3 linked regions of the Mus musculus genome follow. The protein of the gene in region 3 purifies or fractionates together with the protein of the main gene of each other region. This does not show direct contact. Links are inferred from orthologs where the notes say so. Each region holds a gene or a part of one and is shown on either strand. Other genes may lie near its edges. The genes, in order: Edrf1, Hgh1 and Ttc4.

Evidence for each region.
Region 1: the proteins of Ttc4 (region 3) and Edrf1 purify together in Homo sapiens (affinity purification with mass spectrometry; 3 studies listed by BioGRID and IntAct, counting the BioPlex papers as one, with this or other methods). This does not show direct contact. The link is inferred for Mus musculus from reciprocal best matches to the Homo sapiens genes TTC4 and EDRF1.
Region 2: the proteins of Ttc4 (region 3) and Hgh1 purify together in Homo sapiens (co-immunoprecipitation; 4 studies listed by BioGRID and IntAct, counting the BioPlex papers as one, with this or other methods). This does not show direct contact. The link is inferred for Mus musculus from reciprocal best matches to the Homo sapiens genes TTC4 and HGH1.

The regions. Positions count from the first base shown.
Region 1 is NC_000073.6:133,671,083-133,673,654, forward strand, and holds the end of Edrf1 (erythroid differentiation-related factor 1), read left to right. Parts: intron 1-283; coding exon 284-458; 3' UTR 459-1,935; downstream 1,936-2,572. UniProt on the Homo sapiens protein: Transcription factor involved in erythroid differentiation. Involved in transcriptional activation of the globin gene.
Region 2 is NC_000081.6:76,367,579-76,371,769, reverse strand, and holds Hgh1 (protein HGH1 homolog), read right to left. Parts: upstream 2,873-4,191; 5' UTR 2,815-2,872; coding exon 2,201-2,814; intron 2,119-2,200; coding exon 2,018-2,118; intron 1,915-2,017; coding exon 1,816-1,914; intron 1,609-1,815; coding exon 1,517-1,608; intron 1,439-1,516; coding exon 1,316-1,438; intron 1,239-1,315; coding exon 1,086-1,238; 3' UTR 359-1,085; downstream 1-358.
Region 3 is NC_000070.6:106,668,864-106,672,513, reverse strand, and holds part of Ttc4 (tetratricopeptide repeat protein 4), read left to right. Parts: intron 1-765; coding exon 766-890; intron 891-1,978; coding exon 1,979-2,065; intron 2,066-3,650.

The sequences.
Region 1 (2,572 bases), on a different chromosome or scaffold from region 3:
GAGCTCAGCTGCCAGTTTAGATTGGCACTTGTTGCTGAGTAGAGGGGCCATGTAGTTGCTCCATGCTTGATCAGCCCCAGCTCCCACTCAACTTTCTCCATGACATATTCTTTGACCATGTTTTTGTGACTGCTCCCAGTGCCTTTTTCCAGTGCCTCTGCTGGGAAGGCAGGGGTCTTTCTCTGGTTTACTCAACAGCCATAGATAAGTCAGATACTCTAAGAAGTGCCTGTTGTTTCCAGCCCCTCCCTCTATTCCCTCACCTGTTTGTTTTTAACCTCAGCAGTAACGCTGAAGAAGACATAGTCCTCCAAACCAACAAGCAGATTTACTCCCAGCTTTTGAGAGCGACTGCCAACAGAAACTCAACTCTGCTGGAAAGAATTGAAGTCGTCATCTGTTTGCTGGAGCAGCTTGCCTCCGGTAGCAGCCGATCGAGTGGCAGTGCTGTCCCCTGACTGCAGTGGTACTGGAGGACTGTCTTGTCAGTGCCTTCCCGTCCTGGAGCTGTCTGTCTGTCCACTCGGTGCTGAGACTTATTAAATATGAGGACATAGCGTTTAATCAGGTCCACAGTGGATACTTGCTTCCCATGGCAGGCAGAGGATGTGGGGTGGTTCGGCTTCTTGTGAAGGTGAGAAACTATAATGGAACCGAAAGCTTTGTAAATGTATTTCCTCGAGAAGTACATGGTTCCTTAGTGATAACACCTCCTGCGATGTCGCGAGACTTAAAATATTCTTGACGTTAAAACACTTAGGTGTAAGATGCGATTATTTTGGATAAAATGTTACTCTGGCCAAGGGAACTCTTATTCAAGTGATTTCATGGATTCAAATGGCATGTAGAAACAGTGCGCATCAGCGTCTACTTCTAAGTGACACAAAAGTGTCCCCTTTCCAAGCTGTGGTGTGCGCGGGAGGTTTTGACGACTGAGAATTGTGCAGGTCTCCTTTCAGTGCATGCTCTGAAGAGACTCCTTCTCTGACTGTGTATGACATTGGTAAAGAATAGGTACTATCACTTTCTCATTTTAAACTTGAAACTGTGAATAAGGTAAGAGAATTATTTTGAATAAATAAGCTATTTATTTAAAATACCTTGGTAGTTCCCACTTGCATTCTTCACACTGCTGTGATTTGATCTGCTTGCTTATGATATCAAACCTTTACAAAGTACATGGCTCCTAATTTTCAAGGCAAAGGTTTCCCCTACATTCCTGCTCCTGGGACATTCTGCTGTGCCCTGCTGCTCTGGGGATCTTGTCCAGTGCCCACTGCATGTGGGGCCGTCAAGCTGTCACTAACAGTTGCAAGGAAGTCCAGCATTTGCACCAGGCAGACTCTTGATATCTGGTATCTGGCCACAGTTACATCCCCTTCCACACCAGCCCCACTTACAGATGTGGGTTTCTGTCACTGGAGCAAGCAGGTCTCCATTGCAACAAAGCAGATTATTCTCTCACTATTTGTCTAGTTCCTTGTTTGGTTTGCATTGTTGTCATTGGAACAAATTTGCACCTGTTTACAAGAGTTAATCATTGCAACCCTTAAAACGTTGGTGAAACTGTAAAGCTTTGAGCCAGCTCCTCAGCCTCCTTTTAGGACGCCTGTGTCCTTAGCCCTGCAGCAAGTGTGCACACAGTACCACAGCCCTTCCTTCCTCCACTGGAGGGCCCTGTGGAACAGGCGAACTCATCAGGATTCCCGTGCTGCCCTAGAAAGAGGCTGGAGTGTTAGGACTACTTGTCTCCAAGCCCCTCTCCTTAGCTGAAAAGCCTTCTGATAGGAAAATGGATTTTAAGCAAGGAAGTAGAAATTTTGGCTCTTTCTCTTGTCATAGCAATAACATGAAAATTTCTGCAGGAGAAATAAAAGATACTTCTCAAATATGTTGTAATTACTTGTGTTGGTTTTAATTAAAGCCTCCTGAAGTATATGTGTTTTAGATGTTCCTTTAGAAGAGTCTGTGGCCTGGTCGCTCAGGTTTCTGAACCTTTTTCAGTTAGTTTGTTCAGATATCATCATCTATGACATTGGCTGTTGTGTTAAGAATTTAAGCCAGCAGGTGGTGGTAGAGGTGGCTGCTGTTGCTGCACATGCCTTTAATCCCAGTACCTGGGAGGCAGAGGCAAGCAGATCTCTTGAGTTCCAGGACAGCCAGGATTACACAGAAAAACACTGTCTTGAAGAAACAAACTAAAGAATTGATAAGCCATACTGTGTGGGAGTTAAAGGGTTAGTGCCTGTCCTAGAGTAGGAAAGTTGCACTTACCCAGCCAGCTTCCAGAGCCCTGTGGTGGCCTGACCCACAGGACAGAAGCAGGGAAGCCATGATCTGCCAGTTAGTGGAAGGGCCTGTGCACAGACAAGCAGGAGGCAATCATCACAGGGTGCAGACATAATGCTGTGCATGCTGGCGAGACCTGTTGTGTCACCCAAACAGACTTTGGGGACCTTTGGATCATGTCACATGTTTCGTGTAGCTTTCGCTGCCCCACCTAAGCTCCTTGAACAGACTATGCTTCCAGCCTCCACCCCGCTTCTCTTGAATCCACAGATAAAAGATACAC
Region 2 (4,191 bases), on a different chromosome or scaffold from region 3:
TGGTACCCAGTGAAAACACCTAGCCATGCATGACAACACATACACCAGTCTTCCAGCTTCAGGGGTATGAAATAGAACACTGCAAACTCCCTTGGAGACTACAGGTCTCAGGGACCTGGAAGGACCTGTTGCTGAAGAAAACGTCACTCACAGGTGGAGTGAGATCTGTAGCTCAGAAAGGGGGACACAGTAGAGCAAAACTTGCCACGGTATCTACAGAGTTAGGAAGAAGGGGTGCATACACAGAGTAGGCTCCAAATGTTGGGGGTAGGATCGTACAGGGGTAAATGCTTCAAGAACACGCAGGAGAATCTCTTGCAGGAGAGTCTGGATGTCTTTTTTTTTTTTTTTTTTTTTTGGTTTTTTCGAGACAAGGTTTTTCTGTGTAGCCCTGGCTATCCTGGAACTCACTCTGTAGACCAGGCTGGCCTCAAACTCAGAAATCCGCCTTGAAAGGCAACCGAGACTTGAAAAAGCTAACCAAGGAGCAGGTTCTATCTAGCTGAATGGCTAAGTCCCAATTCAACCTGGGAATAAGGAGGCTGACAGGTGAAACAGAGAAACGGAGGCAGCAAATGGGAAACCCAGCAAGTCATCCAGAGACAGGCTCACAGGCTCGGATGGCAGAGCATTCTAGGAAGGGACGAGGATCCAAGTGTAGTCTGTCTTTTAAGGTCTTGGGCAAGGAAAGCAAGAAGACTCCGAAGGTTGGGGCTCACGGCGCTGTTTACATCTCTAAGCCTACCCACGTCCAGACCCCTCAGTGCCTTCAGGAATGAAAACCTAGTTGGCTTCCCAGGGCTTGCAGTATTTTCAGTCCAGTCCTATCACCAGCTGGGAATAGGCTCTTCATAGCTCCAGTGACCACCGGCATCCTGCCTCATCTGTAGGCAGCTGTGACAGAACCCAGCCAGCTCCAGCTCAGTAGTGCAGCTCTGAACTATGTGCATTATTGCCGGTTGCAACAGGGCACAGGATTGGGCAGCACCCTTGGGCTTCTCACCATTTACTGGGCATTGACCCTAGAACCCTGCGCCAACACTGGCAAAGGTGGGTCTGAAGCTGGCATTCAGGCCAAAGGGGCTTCAGGTGTGTGGGGCACCGTTGCCTCTTAGCTCTTGAGCGAGCTCCTGTTGCTCTTGCTGGTCGAGCTCCTGGAGCTGTTGTTCCACGTCTTCAGGTACCTGCACCTCCAGCAGGTTTTCCATGCCAGCCTCTGGCTCATCACCAATAAGCACCTGCAAGAAGAGGAGGCAGGTGAGCGGGCTCATAAGCCATTGGCACTTGCCTAGCCTTTCTGACCCCCCGCACTCACCTGGATAAGTTTTTCGCAAGCCATCCGCACATCGGGCTCTGGCTCCCAGCTGTGCAGCTCTCGAAGGATCAAGTAGGCACCCTGGTCCCGTACCTGCTTCCGACCAGGTGCCGTGGCTGTCAGCTAGGAAGATGGAAAAAGGTTACTCGGATGCCAATACGGACTTGTGGAGAGGCACTAACACCCCAGGCCCCTGCTCACCAGCATGACGGCTTCGATGAGCATCTTCCGGATGTCAGCGTCCGGCTCCCGTTGCTTGTCTGGTGACAAGTACTGCAGGTCAACAGGCAGCTCTAGGAGTGAGGGTGGGAGACTATTGGTCCCTGTGCTGAACACCCAAGCCCTGCTCTGCCTGGGTGAGCCTTGTGTGTGTCTGTAACGACCCCCTCCTTAAAGGCTGCCGGACTGAGGGACTCCAGACCTGCACACCTCTCCATCTCCCTCTTGTAGTCTTCCCTCTAGCACCAGACAGCCCTGAGGCAACCACCCAAGTCACTCACGGTCCATTTCTTCCTCGGAAAACTCTTCAGGCCCAGCCAAGGGCAGTAGCAAAAAGGGGAGAATGTCGACTTGGGCCCCAAGTAACCACTTGTGATGTCCTGGAGGTGCGGACAAGGAAGGAGATCAGAATAATGGTCCGTTGGGTTCCCTAGGGTCCAATCCCCACCTTGGCAATGGCACCACCCCCTCCTTGTCACTCACGATGCTCAAAACAGCAATTCCGAAGTGTTCCCACCACCCCGCCCCTGCGCACCGAAGAATCTGTGTACTGGGTAAGAGGCAGCAGCCGTTGGACCACGCACCTGTTGAAAGAAGATATTCACTGCTGTCCTTGTTCACTTCCACTTCCCCACCTTCCCGCCCGCGCAGGCGACTGGGTTTCACCTGTCTGGGTCCAGGAGAAAAGCACGCACCTCCGCCTGCTGGCTAAGGTTGGAGAGCAGCGGCCCCAGGTAATGCAGGGGTGCGGCCGCGTTGTAGCTCGGCGTGCACAGCGCGTTGACAAGTCGCTCCAGACCCAACCGCTCCGGCTCAGCGGCCATCAGCTTCTCCATTAACGCAGCACACGGAGCCGGCTCGCGACTCAGGTTGGCCAGCACTGCAGCCGCCTCTTCAGCCCAGGGCCACTGAGGGTCCAACACGCAGCGCAGCAGGCGGGCGGGCAGCTCCGGGTCAGCCGCCAGCAGCTGCCAGTGCACATTGGGATCAGCAGCCAAGTTCACGAGCGCGCGGGAGGCATCGCGGGAAGGAGCTGGGGCCGGGGCCACCGCAAGGTCGACCAAGGCCCGCAACAACTCTGGCTGTCCGGCCAACAGCGTGCGGCCCGAGCCCGCACCAGTCAGCGCCAGCACGTGCTGCGCCGCGGCCGCCTGCAGGTCGGCTCGCGCTCCGAGCACCAGGAAGGGCAGCAGTTCCACCGCCTCCGTGTCCGCGCCAGCCTCCTGCTCTAGCAACCCTCGCTCACCAGAGAACCCCGAACCTACTCCCGGTCCCCGCATGCCGCCAGCAGTCTCAGTCACTTCTCGTGCCGGGGCCACCGCCGGAAAAGCGGAAGTCGTTAAAACCCTTCCGAGGCTGAGAACCTGGCTGAAGGGGGCGGGGCCGGTTTCAGCGCGAGGCATTGTGGGCCACAGTATTAGGCACCCCTTAAGCTGGTGCAGATGCACCCTCCCCCCCTTCCCATCATCATCACCACCACCACCAGATCCTTGCAAGGACTTTTCCGGCTGCCTATTGCGTGTTTGCTTTGCCAGGAGTCAGAACCACGCGACCAGCACGCATAATTTGAAGCGAAGCTCGGCAGCCGGTGATCCTGGTGTCCAGAGTGTTTGCTGCCACCTTTTAAACCTGGTTTCAGACATCCAGGAACCGGAGGGTGCAGGACTCTGCGATGAAAAGGCAGCTTTGGATCAGTCTCTGACTTTGCAGAGGGGCTAAATTTTTTTTTCTAGTGCATTTGTTAGGTCCTCTTCAGTGACAGAAGTCTGAGTCAAGCAGGCTTGGGCAAAGGGAACTAATAAATGAATCTATAGTTTGCAGGTTTGGGGGCACCTGGTGACAGACGCCCCTGCCAGCTCTTTAGAGCACTGTTCGGTTTCTGTCTTCCATACCTCGCTGCGTTTCTTTGCTTCTCAGTGGCTCCATATTACCTTCCACCGGCACATTTGTTAGCACAGATGGGAGGACACTGGCCTTCTTAGCTACGTAATCCCTAGCAGAAGATAATTTCAGTACTAGGATCTGTTCTGGGAAAGTATCCCATTTGGTGCTTCTTGTGCCTGTATTAGCAATTAGCTGCCTGGGGTCCTTGCTCTCTCAAATTAGAAATCTTGAGTTAGGGGTTTTTCCAGGGCTGGTCCTTGTCAGGTTTTTGTAGGAGATAGCCAGGAACCGCCACGGTTCCAGATCCTATGCAACCTTAGATACTGACTGGGATCCTTCCGGCTACAATGGCAAAGTGGTTAGGTCTGTGTAGGGCCAACTGTCCAGATTTCCCAGCTGTTGACAGCAGCTAGTGAGTTTCTAAGAAAAGGCTCCCTTGCCTCTGTTTTGTTTTGTTTTGGAGACAGTGCTGGCTGTCCTGGAACTCACTCTGTAGACCAGGCTGGCCTCAAACTCAGAAATCCACCTGCCTCTGCCTCCCAAGTGGTAGGACCAAAGGCGTGCGCCACCACTGCCCGGCTCCTTATCTTTTTATAAACGTGTCACTGTCTAATCTCACAACTGAGGAGGCTGAGGCAGGAAGGTCAGTGTAAGTTTGAGGCCAGCCTGAGCTATAAAATGAGCTGGTCTCAAAAGATTTTTCTCTTAAACAAAGTTAACTTTGTTAACTTGACACAAAATAGTCACCTAGAAAGGGAAGCTCAGTGACTTTA
Region 3 (3,650 bases):
CAGTGGCTCACAGCTGCCTAAGACTCCAGCTCAAGGGCTATCTGACATCTCTGGCCTTTTCAGGCAAACACTCTCTCTTTCTCCCTCCCTCCCTCGCTCTCTCCCTCGCTCCCCCTCCCTCTCTTTCCTTCTCTCTCTTAAAAACAATTTTATTGTTGTTTAAAATTCTTTTTTCTTTCAAGTTTTATTTATTTTATGTATTCACCATTGCTCTCTTCAGACACACCAGCAGAGGGCATCAGATCCCATTGCAGATGGTTGTGAGCCACCATGTGGTTGCTGGAAATTAAACTCAGGACTTGTGGAAGAGCAGTCAGTGTTCTTAACCACTGAGCCATCTCTCCAGCCCTTAAAAACAAATCTTAAAACACACACACACACACACACACACACACACACACCCCATCTGAGATGGCCTTTATTCTCCCATTTGTAGACAAGGAATCTGAAGCTCAGACATGGCCTTTGTCCAAGATCCAGCAGGTAAATGACAGTCATTTTCTAGCCCAGCCCTGTCTGACTGTTGTTTGATGAGCTGGGCCCTGTATACCTGGAAGACTTGGAAGTTTTGAACAAATGGGGTTGAGAGTGATTTCTGATCAACAGTACACAAATCCTTCCTTGTCTAGGAACTGAACTACAAAGAGCCCTGTCCTGTCTGCCCTCCTGGGGCTGGCTGGTGACTGGTGAGGGAAGGAAGGCCTTTTCAAGGTGGTGCTTTCTGAGCATGTTGTTCTGAGATCCTCAGGACTCTGATTTCTGCAGGTGCCCTGTGCCATCTTGAACTGAAACACTTTGCTGAGGCTGTGAACTGGTGTGATGAGGGACTACAAATTGATGCCAAAGAGAAGAAACTTCTAGAAATAAGGGCAAAAGCAGACAAGCTAAAGGTTAGTGACTGTCTGCAGACAGTTTGCATTTGCTAGTTAGCATTCCTCAGATTGTGTCTCAAGTCGCTGTGGGAATATAGTGTGTGCATTCTAACAGTCTAGAGTAGTGGTAGCTGGCTTTGCACTGCCGACAGCAGAGTGTGAATGGGATTCTGACAGGTAGTTTGCTGAGAGAGGTGACGCCTGAGCCCAATCTCTGAATGACGGAATGAGAGTTTGCTGAGCAGCTGATTGATGCCGAGGGAGAAGACTGTTCCAGACAAGAAGCCCTAGAGGGATACTTCAGCAAATCTGAGTTTAATACTACTTTTACCACTGCTGAAGTGCTGAAATGAATCAGGACAAGTTCCTGATATTTCTTGGTCCCTGCTTTGAATATGAGAAAAATATATACCTTGAATGATTTTTTTTAATGAAGATGAATTGAGCTAAGCAAGTTTTCACACTTTCAAGAGATAATACACAATAGAGACCATGCAGTCTGCAGAGCCTGACACATTTGCTCTGTTCCCTTTGTAGCAGAGGTTGGCAGATCTCTATTAACTGCAAGCCCAGGGGGAAGCAGGAGCTGCTGGTGGTGGGCAGACTGGGGAGAAAGTCTGCCACCTGTGTTTCTCTCACTGATTTTAACTGTGCAGAAGGCAGAACCTGGGGTTTTCGGCAGCCATACCAGAGAAGTTGGGGTTCCCATGTAGTACTTGTCTACTCCACTGGGGACCTTGGATAGAGATGCCCTCTCTCCTTTATTGGTGGCATCTTCCTTGTCTGCCTAAGTCTACTTTGGGGGCACCATCAGGGTGACTCAGGGGTACACTTGGCTCTTAGCAGCATCCTTCACTGAATTGTGAGTTCTTGCAGTACAAGAACGAAGGGTTTTGTTTTGGTTTTGTTTTTTAAAGAACTAGGTTTTAAATTTCTGCCGACAGTGGGCCTGACTGTGGGGGCATGCTTTGTGGACGGTCACTGAGCCAGCCACTGGCAGTCTCTGAGCAGAAGGATGGTTTGCATAGAGACCAGATCTCTTGCAGGCTGGGGTAAAAGCAAGAAAGAGTTCCGTGGAGCTGACAACATCTGAATTATATTTCCAGAGGATGGAAGAGAGGGATCTGAGGAAGGCAAAGTTGAAAGAAAAGAAGGAACAGCATCAGAATGAGGCTCTGCTCCAGGCCATCAAGGTGAGTTCTCGAAGCATAGGCCTCACAGAGTGTGAAACCCCCTGGCTGTGTGAAGCCTCCTGGGGCCTTTGTTGGGGTGCTTTGCCTTCACAGCTGTGCTTATTACCCCGCCCGACCTCTGGAGTCAGAGCACCACGTTCAGTTAGCTTGTCCCTCCTGTGCCGGTCTCAGCAACATGCTGAGTGTGCGCTCTGAATAGTCATCCTCTCCCTCCCTCTCACGGCAGCCCTCTGGGGAAGGCCTTCTTCCTGGTTTACTAATCTTAGAAGAAAACCGCCCATAGTAATGGTGTCTGAGCCAGGGCCATGCTCATCACTGTAACATACTGCAACCCGAGAAAGCCACGCTTTTAGGATGTTGCTTTAATTAACAACAGTAAAACCCTTCCTGTCCTGCATTCTGAAGTGCGCGTAGTCTAGGAGGTCCAGTGGCCAAGCCAGTTAGTGCTTAGTACTTCCCTGAAGTGAGTGTCTGACCTACAACTTGAATCCTTGATGCCTGGCTAGTCTCCCATTCAACAGGTGATGCTGCCTGGGCTGAGGCTTTAGTCTCATTCTGTGTTCACAGTTACACACCATTTCAGTTACTGACTTAGAGAACTTAACACTGCTAAATCTACTCACTTGTCTCTCCCAGTAAGCAGTCTGGTAACATATATTAACAAATTCAATATGGGCCGGAGAGATGCTCAGTGGCTAAGTACACTGCCTGCAGAGGACCTGGGTTCTGTTCCCAGCACCCACATGGCAGCTCACAACTGTCTGTAACTCCTCACACAGACATACCTGCAGGCAAAACAGCACAGAATTATAACACACACACACACACACACACACACACACACACATAGGATGGCAGACAGATGCAGTGGCCCCATGTCTGCAATTCCAGTACTCGAGATGCAGAAGTGGAAGATGTGGAGTTTGAAGCCAGTTTCAAATAATAGTAAAACTCTTATCTCAAAAGATAAAATACAACCCAACAAACAGAACAGTACAGTATACTCCAGGTTTTTAAATTTGATATTCAGAGAGGATGTGGCCATTTTCTTGAATAAGAGACCCAGATAGTTGTATGTAGACTTTTTTTTTCCTTGACTGTATTGTATATGTGCACCACATGATTTATGTAGTGCCCACAGAGTAGTTGGGGTATTAGGAATTGAACCTGGGTCCTCTGGAAGAGCAGCCTGTGCACTAACCATTGAGCCATCTCTCTAGCCCCACATATAGATGTTTTAGAAATTTTCTAGTTATTTCTTCTAGTTAAGTCCTGTACTTTGGACTGCAGTACAAATTAAAATCATTATCAACAGTACAAAGCTGCCTTAGTTAGGGTTTCTCTTGCCATAATGAAGCACCATGACCAAAAGCAAGTTGGGGAGGAAAGGGTTTATTTGGCTTACATTTCCATGTAATAGTCCACCTTTGAAGGAAGCCAGGACAGAAACTCAAGCAGGACAGGAACCTGGAGGCAGGAGCTGATGCAGAGGCCATGGAGGAGTGCATTAGTTTGCTCCTCATGGCTTGCTCAGCCTATAAAACCCAGGACCACCAGCTCAGGGATGGCACCACCCACAATGGCC